Neodiprion lecontei: one gene and its partner. The protein of the gene in region 1 interacts with the protein of each later gene in a biochemical or structural test. Links are inferred from orthologs where the notes say so. Each region holds a gene or a part of one and is shown on either strand. Other genes may lie near its edges.

Region 1 (5,017 bases):
AACTGGTTTCATTGACAAGCATATTTGGCCCACATTTCTTCGGTCCAAAGCACCAAATCTTTCTGAGGTCCAGTTCCTCTTCACCCTCTTGAAATGCGAGTTTCAGCTCAGCCTTGAAAGAATCGACGGCTTTCTGGGTTCGTTCTGGAAGAACCAAGGATTCGGTAGACGTGTTAACATCCTCGACCTCCTTGCCAAGCCTCTCGACATGCCGATCCAGCAGTTTGATGAGATCGACGTATTTCTCCAACGTCTTAGTCACCTCATCCGGAAGTGGCCTCGCGTCAATTTCGAAGCTGCATTGCCTGTTAGCGGTCCAAGACTCGAGACTGCACTCCTGCTCTTTCTTTTCTATCACCTCGTTGGTCATGTCGACCTTGGGCGGAGGGACAACGGTCTCCCTAAGCGGAACTATCGGCTCCGAAACGTTCACCTCGACCTTGGCATAGCGCAGTTTAAGATCCTCGAGACATCTTTCAAGGTGGACTTCGCCCGCTGTGTTTAAAACTATCTCACCGGTCTCCTGAATGTGGACAATAGCGCAGGCATCTGCTTGGTTTAGCAGCTTCAGGCCCTTCATCAGCTTCTGGAGGTCATTCGGGTGCTTCGGCTCCAGTGCCACCCTCAGAATCGGATCCGTCAATGACGTCAGCTCAGCAAAAGAGGGACAAGCTATCGTGGAGGACAGAGTTGCCGTTTTCAGGACATGGTCCTCCAAATTTCCGATTCCCACCACGTTACCGGCTGTCACGCTCTCCAATGGCTCCAATTCTCGTCCCATCAAGAGGTACAGCCGCTCAATCTTTGCCTTGGTCGCATGCCGGCCAGGCTTGAGGTCTTTCAACACCGCGCTCTCGTCGACTTCCTCTCCACTCTTGAGGCGCTCCAGAGCCAATGCAGGGTTGTGTTTCGGCCCAAGGACGAAAACCTCGCTACCTTCACTCAGCGTTCCTGAATAAACTCTGGCAAAAGCAACCAAAGCATCTTCAGATATTTCCTCCACTGGCTTTTGAATGTTGTCCAAGTCCAAAGCCTCTGTCTTTTCCGTTACCGCAGTGATTCCTGACTTTTGCTGCTCCAGTTGAGCGGCGTGTCGCTGTCTGGCGATTTCCCGCCTCTGAGCGAGCTCCTCCTGCGTCAGAGGCTTGGACTTGTTTTCAGGCAGGGTTTTTCTGTCCACTGGAAACATTTTCGATATAAACACTATTACAGGCGCGTTCGGCGAGCTGTCGCAAGCCAGGAAAGCATCCTTCAGCAACTGCGTCTCCTGCGGAAGCGCAGAGAAATCGGTATTCCCACTCATGAGCCGTTCAATCTTTTCGTTAGTGAGATTCTTGGGTGAGGGAACATTAGCGCAGGTGATATCGAGGCAGGCTTCCGCCAGTGGTAGCCACTGCGAACAAATCGCCTGTAGCTGAGCCTTGGAGTCGGTGTGCCTAAGGTCCCGAGTGGTGAGTTTTATTTGGAGCTTATCGACCATGGATGTTATTTTGTCCTTGTCTTTGCGGACGACGACGGTGTCATACAGTGCCCAAATATTCTCTAGGATGAGTTGAACGAAAAGCGGCTTCTTAGCTTTCTCTTGAGCACCCTTCATTATCCGCTTGGTCTTACTGTTTATGTAAAAATCCCCCCACAGTGTCTTGAGCAGTACGTTCTTACTGAATCCCAGCTTCTCAGAAAACATTTTGGCAAACTCCTTTAGACCAAATCCCCAGCGGTCAACGGCACTGGCAAATAAAACATTTCCACGTTCCGGTGAAAAGTACAAATTAGAATCGTCCGCCTCCTCTAATGCTGACTGCCAATCAGCCAGGTCTCTCTCGTTCAGGTTACGGCTCTCACTGCTGGCAGCCTCCTCCTTTTCCTCTCGCTCCATCACATCGCTTGCAAACAGTTCACCCATGACCGCGTTCACCTGCTCCAATACCTGCATCAAGTGAACGTAGGCATCTAGAGGTGTCAATTTCACTTCCGTTATCAACCTGTCTATCTTGTTAAAGACTAGAATGGGCTTCAACCCTTCGATGTAGGCTATCGAAAGGGCACTGCGGGTCTGCGGACAGACGCCCTCGATCACGTCGACCACCACTATCGCCCCGTCGCAGAGCCTCACCGCAGTCGATACTTCAGAGGCGAAATCTACATGACCGGGGGAGTCTATTAAATTAACAATGAACTCACGTCCGTTTTGAGTGTGGTAGAGAGCGATAGAGCTCGACTTCATAGTTATGCCGCGTTGCTGCTCGTCCGTTCTGCTGTCAAGGTATCGCAGTTTGCCGGCAAGCTTACCAGATATTATTCCATTACTTGCTACAAGAGAGTCAGCCAGCGTTGTTTTGCCGTGGTCGACATGTGCCAGGATGCAGATGTTGCGGACATTGTCAGGGTCGCGCTGCAGCATGGAAAGCTTCTCAGAACTGACGAGCCTCATTTTTATACTATAATTTGTGACCCTAGGTTTTGATTAACGTAGGCCAACTAAGGTTAGGTTGGGTCTGGAATTAATTTAATTGGGTAAAGGATTGGGAGATTTAAAATTAGATCAGGCTTAGGTTAGAAAGCTACGGAACACAAGCGGTGAATTACCCGGCTACTGTTCGATCAAAATATCAAAGTAGAGTTCCTGTTGTTATTCGTAGCTACCGTTGTATAGCTAAAATAATAAAAATCGTCACTCGGGGCGCGAGCACGTTGCGAGAAAATCATCGCGAACTGTGAGGTTAGAAGCGGCAACTTTGACGCGAAGATGTTGGCCGATTCACGCTTCGTTCATTCCAAAACACTTTTTCCTCACTCTGACACTTGTTTTCTTGCCGAAATATCGAATATCCGATTTAGGAGCACACGAAAACGGGACTGACACTTGTACGAAGGTTCAAATCTGTCGAGGTTAGGTTCGATCAACCTATATTATTCACCTTTTTTGCATCGAAAATAGACTCGGGCTTGTGAGAGATCGACGGCTCAGATTTCGCGGATATGATAACACCGAAAACCCGGAAAATCACTCGCTGGTTAAACCGAATCGCGACGTAATTTAACTTCACCTCGAATTTCACCGTGCGACGCCGGCCATCATACTCCGTCTGCAGATAAACCTTGAATAACTTGAACACTTGAATGGCAATTTCGAACGCTTGACAACAGCTGACAGTCGCTGAGTCTTGGCGAATCGAGACGTCGGGATTGTCTCGACCGATACTTGACTCTCGCCCGACTTTCGTTTGTCCGAATTTTAGCGGTAACCAACGCCGTTCAAATTGTATCCGAAATGTGGAATCTGACTGATTACACCGATCAACACCAATTTTTTAGTCCAGGTTCTAGATGTCAAATTTTGATTTTTTCCACGTAACTGGAAACTATTATCACAATATAGTTTTACGAGATAAATTTTGTTTTTTATTTCAACGCGCTACTACCTGCTGCATATATTGTCAATCGAAAACATTAAGTTATTTATCAACGTAAAAAAGATAAAAACAAACTTTATAAGTAATAAATAAAGATTTTAGTTATTATTCGATCTATAGAATCAAAATTTATTCATTTGAATATGAATCCAAAACAAAAATTTACATTTTGTTGACCTGTGTTATTTGTTCACGATTTCCAATTAACATTAAATAAGCAGTGTACGAAAAATAACACGCAGTTGTGAAAAAGCTTTGCATTCTTTCTTACATAAGACTTGAAAATACCCCTGGATGAAAACTTTATCTTAGAAACAGTGCAGGCAAAACCGCTTACAGGAATATGTTTTGAAATTCTAGAAAAACGTAAGAGCAAATCGTGGAATTGACTGAACAACTATTACGTCTAAATATTAGACACGTCGGTTCTGTCATTTGTGTCTTTCATAAATCCGGTTAGAATTCTCCTTGTTACGATATTCAAAGCAAAAATATTACAATCCAGAAATATATCAAGTTTTATTCATGTAATCTTTTATATCATATGAGCAAATAGATCTGCTTCAAGAAATAGAAAATTTCAGAGGAGTTGATACAAACTCTTAGATTCATGTAGATAAACTATAATTGTTCTATTAGTGCGAAAAAAATTCTGCGATTCTTTGAAAATCTCTGTGAAATAATTAAAATATTTAAAAATTTGTAACTTAAATTTTTTTTCCATTTGTTTAGCTCGTAAAACAAAAATTACCAAAGCAATCATAATTATCCTAGTTCAACAACAGGTTGTATTCAATATTTCGTCTCCAAAAAAATCACAAAGTTCGTAGAAATGTCAATAAATATGATATGAAAATTATGATAAATTTTATTTCAATGGTTTGTTTCAGAAAAATACCCAAAAACCTATAAAAAATAGTCTTCGCACTAGACGACCCCCTTATATAAGGCAACAAGTTCCTTCTTCGCAACGTTACTACAATTACGTTGCGTCAAGACTTTATTCACTTTATTGATAAAAATTTTAAGAATGTGGAATTAACTGTGCTCTCGGAAAGTTTTTGAGATTATTGCAAATTTTCGAACAGTACCTAAAAATGCAGTAAAATTTTTTATCGTGTTTTGAATAGTATAGTTGTATTATTAATTATTTTATTAAGCAAACGACTTTCAAAGGTAATTAGCTAAGAGTTTCACAATAATTTCCGAAGGAATGTTGAAAGATGAGTGAGTGACATATGTCAATTCCAAATTTCCCGGGGAAAACAACTTTGAGAATTCCTTCAAAAATTCCAGCTTCGATAGAAACTCACGACGAATCTCGGGTATCCTGAGATACATAAGATTACAGATGTTTTCACTAAATTCCAGAATGGATTCGGATCAATGTTTCGTACATTGCAGACGAAATTAAATATTTTTCAACATTCTTTTGGAAGCGTTCAAAGCGGTTTTTCCATGTCGTGAAGAAGTCAACGAAGGATCAGACTTTTTATTATATTTCTGACATAAATTTCAACCCCATGCAGGTAATTCATATCACATCGATCACTCAAATTGTCTCACCAGTTTTCATAAGCATGACGTATGTTCAAAAGTTT
Region 2 (5,226 bases), on another chromosome or scaffold:
TATTATTTGACCACAGTATTTATACACAGAAGCATTTACGTTAATATCGTACACTATGACTAGGAAAATATTATGAAAATTCTGAGATTGTACTGATAATTTAAGTGTCGGGTATGGGAACAGGTTCAGTAGCCAGACTGTTGAACTATGAAAAATATCAATCTCCGATTAGTCGTTGTTAACATGACACAGTAATGTTGAACTAGAATTAATATACACGCACGAAGATAGTTCTAAGAGTATTCAGAATTGTATAAATTGTTTGATGCATTTCATTCGTGCCAAGATTATTTCAAATTTTTAAACGCAGCTCAACAGTAACCATCAAGTAACAGTTAATGTATCTGATGCTAAATATGATTTCACTAAGATATGTAGGATTTACAGATGTTTTATAAATCATTGTTATTAATGTTGATAATTTATCAGCACAGTCGTTGCTGTAATAATTAGATAACGTATTGAAAAATAAACTTGTAAATAGTATGTACCGATTATAATCTCGTTGAGTTATTCATTTTGAATTCGTGACACTGTCTGTTTGGTTATTTTATTCGATTGACAAGCACAATAGATTGGAAAAAAGTAATTTTATTCAGTACAAGGTGATACTACATAAATAATCGAGTTACTGGGAGTAAGTAGTTCACACTATTAATCGTTAAACAGTTACTAATATGTATTACAAACAATATATGGTAGCATTGACCAACGAGCAGAAATTTGCGAATATATATTTCAAATATCTTAACAAAACGAAATACTTTTCTCTGTCATAAGTCGCACGATGTTTTCAACTATTTTGTAAACAAATTCTGCATCGCTGTGTAAGAATATCATGCTGTGATTTGTATTTACAGGACCGTTTGACAAATTATCAGTAGCTGCCTTTCAACCAGAGTAGTAAATGTTGACTCATCTCATCTTATTTCTTTATTCAAATGCAAAAGATCACGGTAGCTATTTGTTTACGATGCATTTTTAGTGAATCAGTGCGTTACATGTTTGTTAATATTTGTAGGAACGTTCCAGATTACACCTCGCAACCATTCATTCCAGGATTTCATCTCCCTCAGTGATTTCCTTTAGGTTAATCAGTTCCAGTATACCTGTTCCTTTTGTTTCTGATCTTACCATTTCATCTATTTCTCTGTATTGACCTGGGTCGATTAGGCAAACTAAGTTCAAACTGCCTCCCTCCCAACTTTCATTTTCAATCTTAGTTGCTTGTTTGGAAATCTTCTCTCTCAGTTTGCGAGCTTCTTTACCTGATATCAGAACTCTCAAACGCATTTGTGCTCTTTCCAAGGGCATGACAGCCTTCAATTGCGGAATGACATCCAAAGCCTGCTGTTTGGCGTTGCGATTAGGTTTTACAGAAAAATGAACATCTTTCATAGCTTTTTCAATCATCGATATTGGATACGGGCGCTTAGTTTCTGGGTTGACACATTTGTCGGATACTGTTGTTGCTATATCCTTGAACATAGAATCCAGAGCCGATTGTCTTTCCTTGTCAGAAACCTGTAGCTCTCCCTTAGTAAGGATTTCCTTGCATATTTCTGTCTGGTCATCCTTACCAAACGCTTTCAAGAGATCTTCCCTCTTTGACACCTGACCTTTGGAAACGTTTGTAAACACGGTATGTGTCTGCAATACTTCATCTATGTCCTTCTCTCTGTGACAAATGTTCTCAATTTAATATAATTAATATTATCAAAGATATAATTGGTTTTCAATTTGAATTGTACAATTTAATACAGTGCAAAATCAAGCTGGAGAAAAAACTAGAGCCTGATGCAAAGTATTCGTGGTATTCACACGCGGACTATTTGCCGTTCGAACACCACACGCGTCTCTTGCTCCATTGCCTAGAACCTTAAGGGCTTAATGTGTGACACAACTTCTTTCCGTAAATGCACCAGCGCATATGCAAAGATCTCAAGAATCAGTTCGACTCATAGCAATGCCGCCTTGTGCTGAAACAATGAAGTTGTTCAAAGGATATTTGCAAGTGAACCCACAGATTTTTTTCATGAGGCTCTTTGCGATTGTGTTTTAAGCCACACCTCCCATGCCACAACTGAAAGGTAATCGCAAGGAACCTCATGGAAAAATTTCACAGGTTCTCTTGAAAATATTCCGTGGCCAATTTCACGATTAGAGTGCATGTCAGCACATGCTATATTAGCCCAAATGACTCTAGGGACTATTTCATATGCAGTGAGCTTATCCGTGGTGTAGTTTTTTTTGCAATGAACGGAAACAACACAGAAAAATATTCCAAGAGAAAAGCCCACTATTGAGGTGTGACAACGTTCACGCCTTAAGCTCTAATTTTTTCTCTTTGCGTAGTAGCAACGAAGAACTGGAGCTGACCATGAAAAGATTAAGAAGCGTACCAAAATAGAATATTTTAATCAATGCACAACTAACATAAACCAGTATTCTGATGTGACCAGTGATAATGTATGCATGTAGAATTGTAAACAGGTTGATAAATGTACAATTTTGCCTCTCAAAAGTATAAATATATATATATATATATATATATTGACGAGTACCACAATTAATGAAGTCAGAATCGAGGCTCATCCGAGTCAACAAATGAAATACTACAGCTAGGTTATGTCGTGCGAACTTGCAATAACACTCAATCGGTGTGCAACAAAATTGCGTAATATGGCTACAGTTGACAAATTGTAAAACTCACAGATTTGTTCTCCAGGATACAACCTTGTTCCTGTAACAGGCGATCTCGAACCTCTTTCCTGCTTTTTTCATACGCACTACTGCGACGTTCGTTAACCTGATCTGGTTAGTTGGTGTGAAAATTAACGACATTTTTGCAAAGTCCGGTAACAATTTACTGCCGTCGAAATTACAAATTATTCTTTATCTCACGATGAAAATTTTCATCAGCTTATCTTCGTACTTCTAGGCACTTAATTACTTGTAAAATGATTAAAATATAAACTGGACGTAGGTCTAGTTGACAAGGGCGCATCGCAGCATCCACAATGTTACTTGAACGACTTGAATGTTTTTACAGGTTCAACTGCCGCAGATTCGTCAGTGGTGCCAACTCTAGATTCTTAAAACATCGAATCTCGCGTGGGAAATTGACGTATTTCATCTCTCATTCAAATCGAAGCACTAACTTCAAAAATCCGGAAAATTATGTAAATGCGTAAATGTGTAGACTGATAAGATTTTTATAGAATGAAATTGTTCTCGGAAATTTAGTAGTCATAAACATTGATCATAAAGCCTGCGAATTCAGAAATTTTCAAATTTTATGGAAAAATTTACTTTCGTAACGTTTTCTCTACCGTCTATAAAATATCGAAAACATATTCATCAGTAAATTATGTGTCGGTTACTGGTATTTTAGGATAATCAAAAAAGCTGATTTCCATGAGATACGCAATAAATTGCAATAAATCATCGAGCAGCTACCGCGTGGTTGGCAAATCTGTCGCGTCGTAAAATCAGTCGGATCAGCAGTGAATTCGAGTTGCGCGCGCAAACGACAACCGACGCATGCGCAGTTGTGATATTATTCTGCAAAGAGGTGTATTGAACATGGCGACCGCGAGCGTGATGCTGACTGACGTTTAGAAATATGCACGTTTACGTGAAGATTTGAAGATACGGCTCTAGGCCCGCGAGTGTTTAGTTAGAGCGTGCATCGACGGTGACTCTGGAGGCAAAATAGGATGGCTTTGGTCACCGTGCAGCGTTCTCCCAGCGTTACCAGCTCGCCTCAGAGTTCGGTGAGTTTTGCATTTTGTGCCAATAGTAGACAGAGAGATACGCGGTCCGGTGTTCGCCAGTGTTGAGATAACCGTGGCTCGGTGCAGCCGCGGGCCGCATCTGTTTTTTTTTTTATCTCCCTTTTGTACCAACTTTAGCATTAATCACCGCGATGAAATTTTTTCTCATTTACCACTGTTCGAAATCAAACAAAGCGTGCTCGGTGCAAGCCTTTGACTACAAAACCAATACTTGCAGGAAGATTTTACTTTTGCATTTGACAATCACTGTAATCATCGTACGAGTTAAAATATATCTCAAGGGTTCTCTATCTACACGAAACACCCGCGATATATCAATCTCTTTACGCATTGTCAGATACGAGTTCGAACGTTTGCCTTTTATGGCGATATATCTCAAGAGTTTACTCCGTTTCCTCCGTCTATCTCTCATTCTCTAGCTCTCTCTACTATACTCTCTCTTTCTCACTCTCTCTCTCCCTCCCCCCTCTCTCTCTGTATTGCTATCAGCTGTTCGCATGCATTTAAAACTTCTCTATGCGCATATATGTAAGTATAGGTTCCAAGTCCAGGCGCGTGTCGCCTCGTCGCACTGTGGCTGATGACCGATTTTAGTACGCTATTTGTCCATTTGATTCATTTATCAGCTGGGTATTGTTAAGTCAACGTCGAGCATCGTCGTATATTTTCATTGAATGTAAACAAGAGAAAAAGACTCGGTCAAGATCTGCGCCATTCATAATTCATACGTATTTAGGAAGAAGAATATCCACTGGAAATTCAATATTTTTCAAAATACATTTTTTGCCAGTTTCGCGGCCGACATGTTTATCAATCACGTACGATACTTCGTCTGAATTTCAGGTAGTTCGGAAAATTCAACGGTTTTTCCACAAAATACATCGTTACATCAAAGTTACGAATTTCAATTTAACCCTGGAGCGGCAAAGGGGGGCGAAAAAACACCCCACGCGAATTTAAATTTCCCACCGCAAGAGAACAGCTTATGTTTTCAACTCGACTAATAACAAATTTTTGATCATCCTATTGGAACTTGACCAAAAATTATTTTGGCCCACGTGATTCTTCGTTAAAAAGCGAAGAAACTGATACCCTATAGGACCCTCAACGATACGCTGTATCCGAGAGATGGAATTTACAAGATTGGGGCGTTTTTTTTTATCCCCCGTCACCGGAATAGGTATGAAAAAAAAAAAAAAAAATGTTACCATTCCAGTTTTAACCTGATTCTGGTGCCATCGCGAACGTCGATATATTCTTTTGATAAAGCCACAGGCACCCGGAAACGTGCGAAATGTAGCGGCGCGGGTTGACCGAAGCGGCAGAGTGCAGAAAACGGGAGGAGCGAATATATTTGCACGGTCTGACTGAGCAGAGCCGCCTGCGCTGCGCCGTCGAGAAAAACCGAAGAAGAGCAACGCGGCACCAG

What was found.
Region 2: the proteins of elongation factor-like GTPase 1 (region 1) and ribosome maturation protein SBDS interact in a biophysical measurement, tested with the Homo sapiens proteins (2 studies listed by BioGRID and IntAct, with this or other methods). The link is inferred for Neodiprion lecontei from reciprocal best matches to the Homo sapiens genes EFL1 and SBDS.

The regions. Positions count from the first base shown.
Region 1 is NC_060263.1:17,903,562-17,908,578, reverse strand, and holds the start of elongation factor-like GTPase 1, read right to left. Parts: upstream 3,097-5,017; 5' UTR 2,435-3,096; coding exon 1-2,434. UniProt on the Homo sapiens protein: GTPase involved in the biogenesis of the 60S ribosomal subunit and translational activation of ribosomes.
Region 2 is NC_060264.1:9,154,953-9,160,178, reverse strand, and holds ribosome maturation protein SBDS, read right to left. Parts: upstream 3,053-5,226; 5' UTR 2,845-3,052; coding exon 2,714-2,844; intron 1,679-2,713; coding exon 1,051-1,678; 3' UTR 576-1,050; downstream 1-575. UniProt on the Homo sapiens protein: Required for the assembly of mature ribosomes and ribosome biogenesis.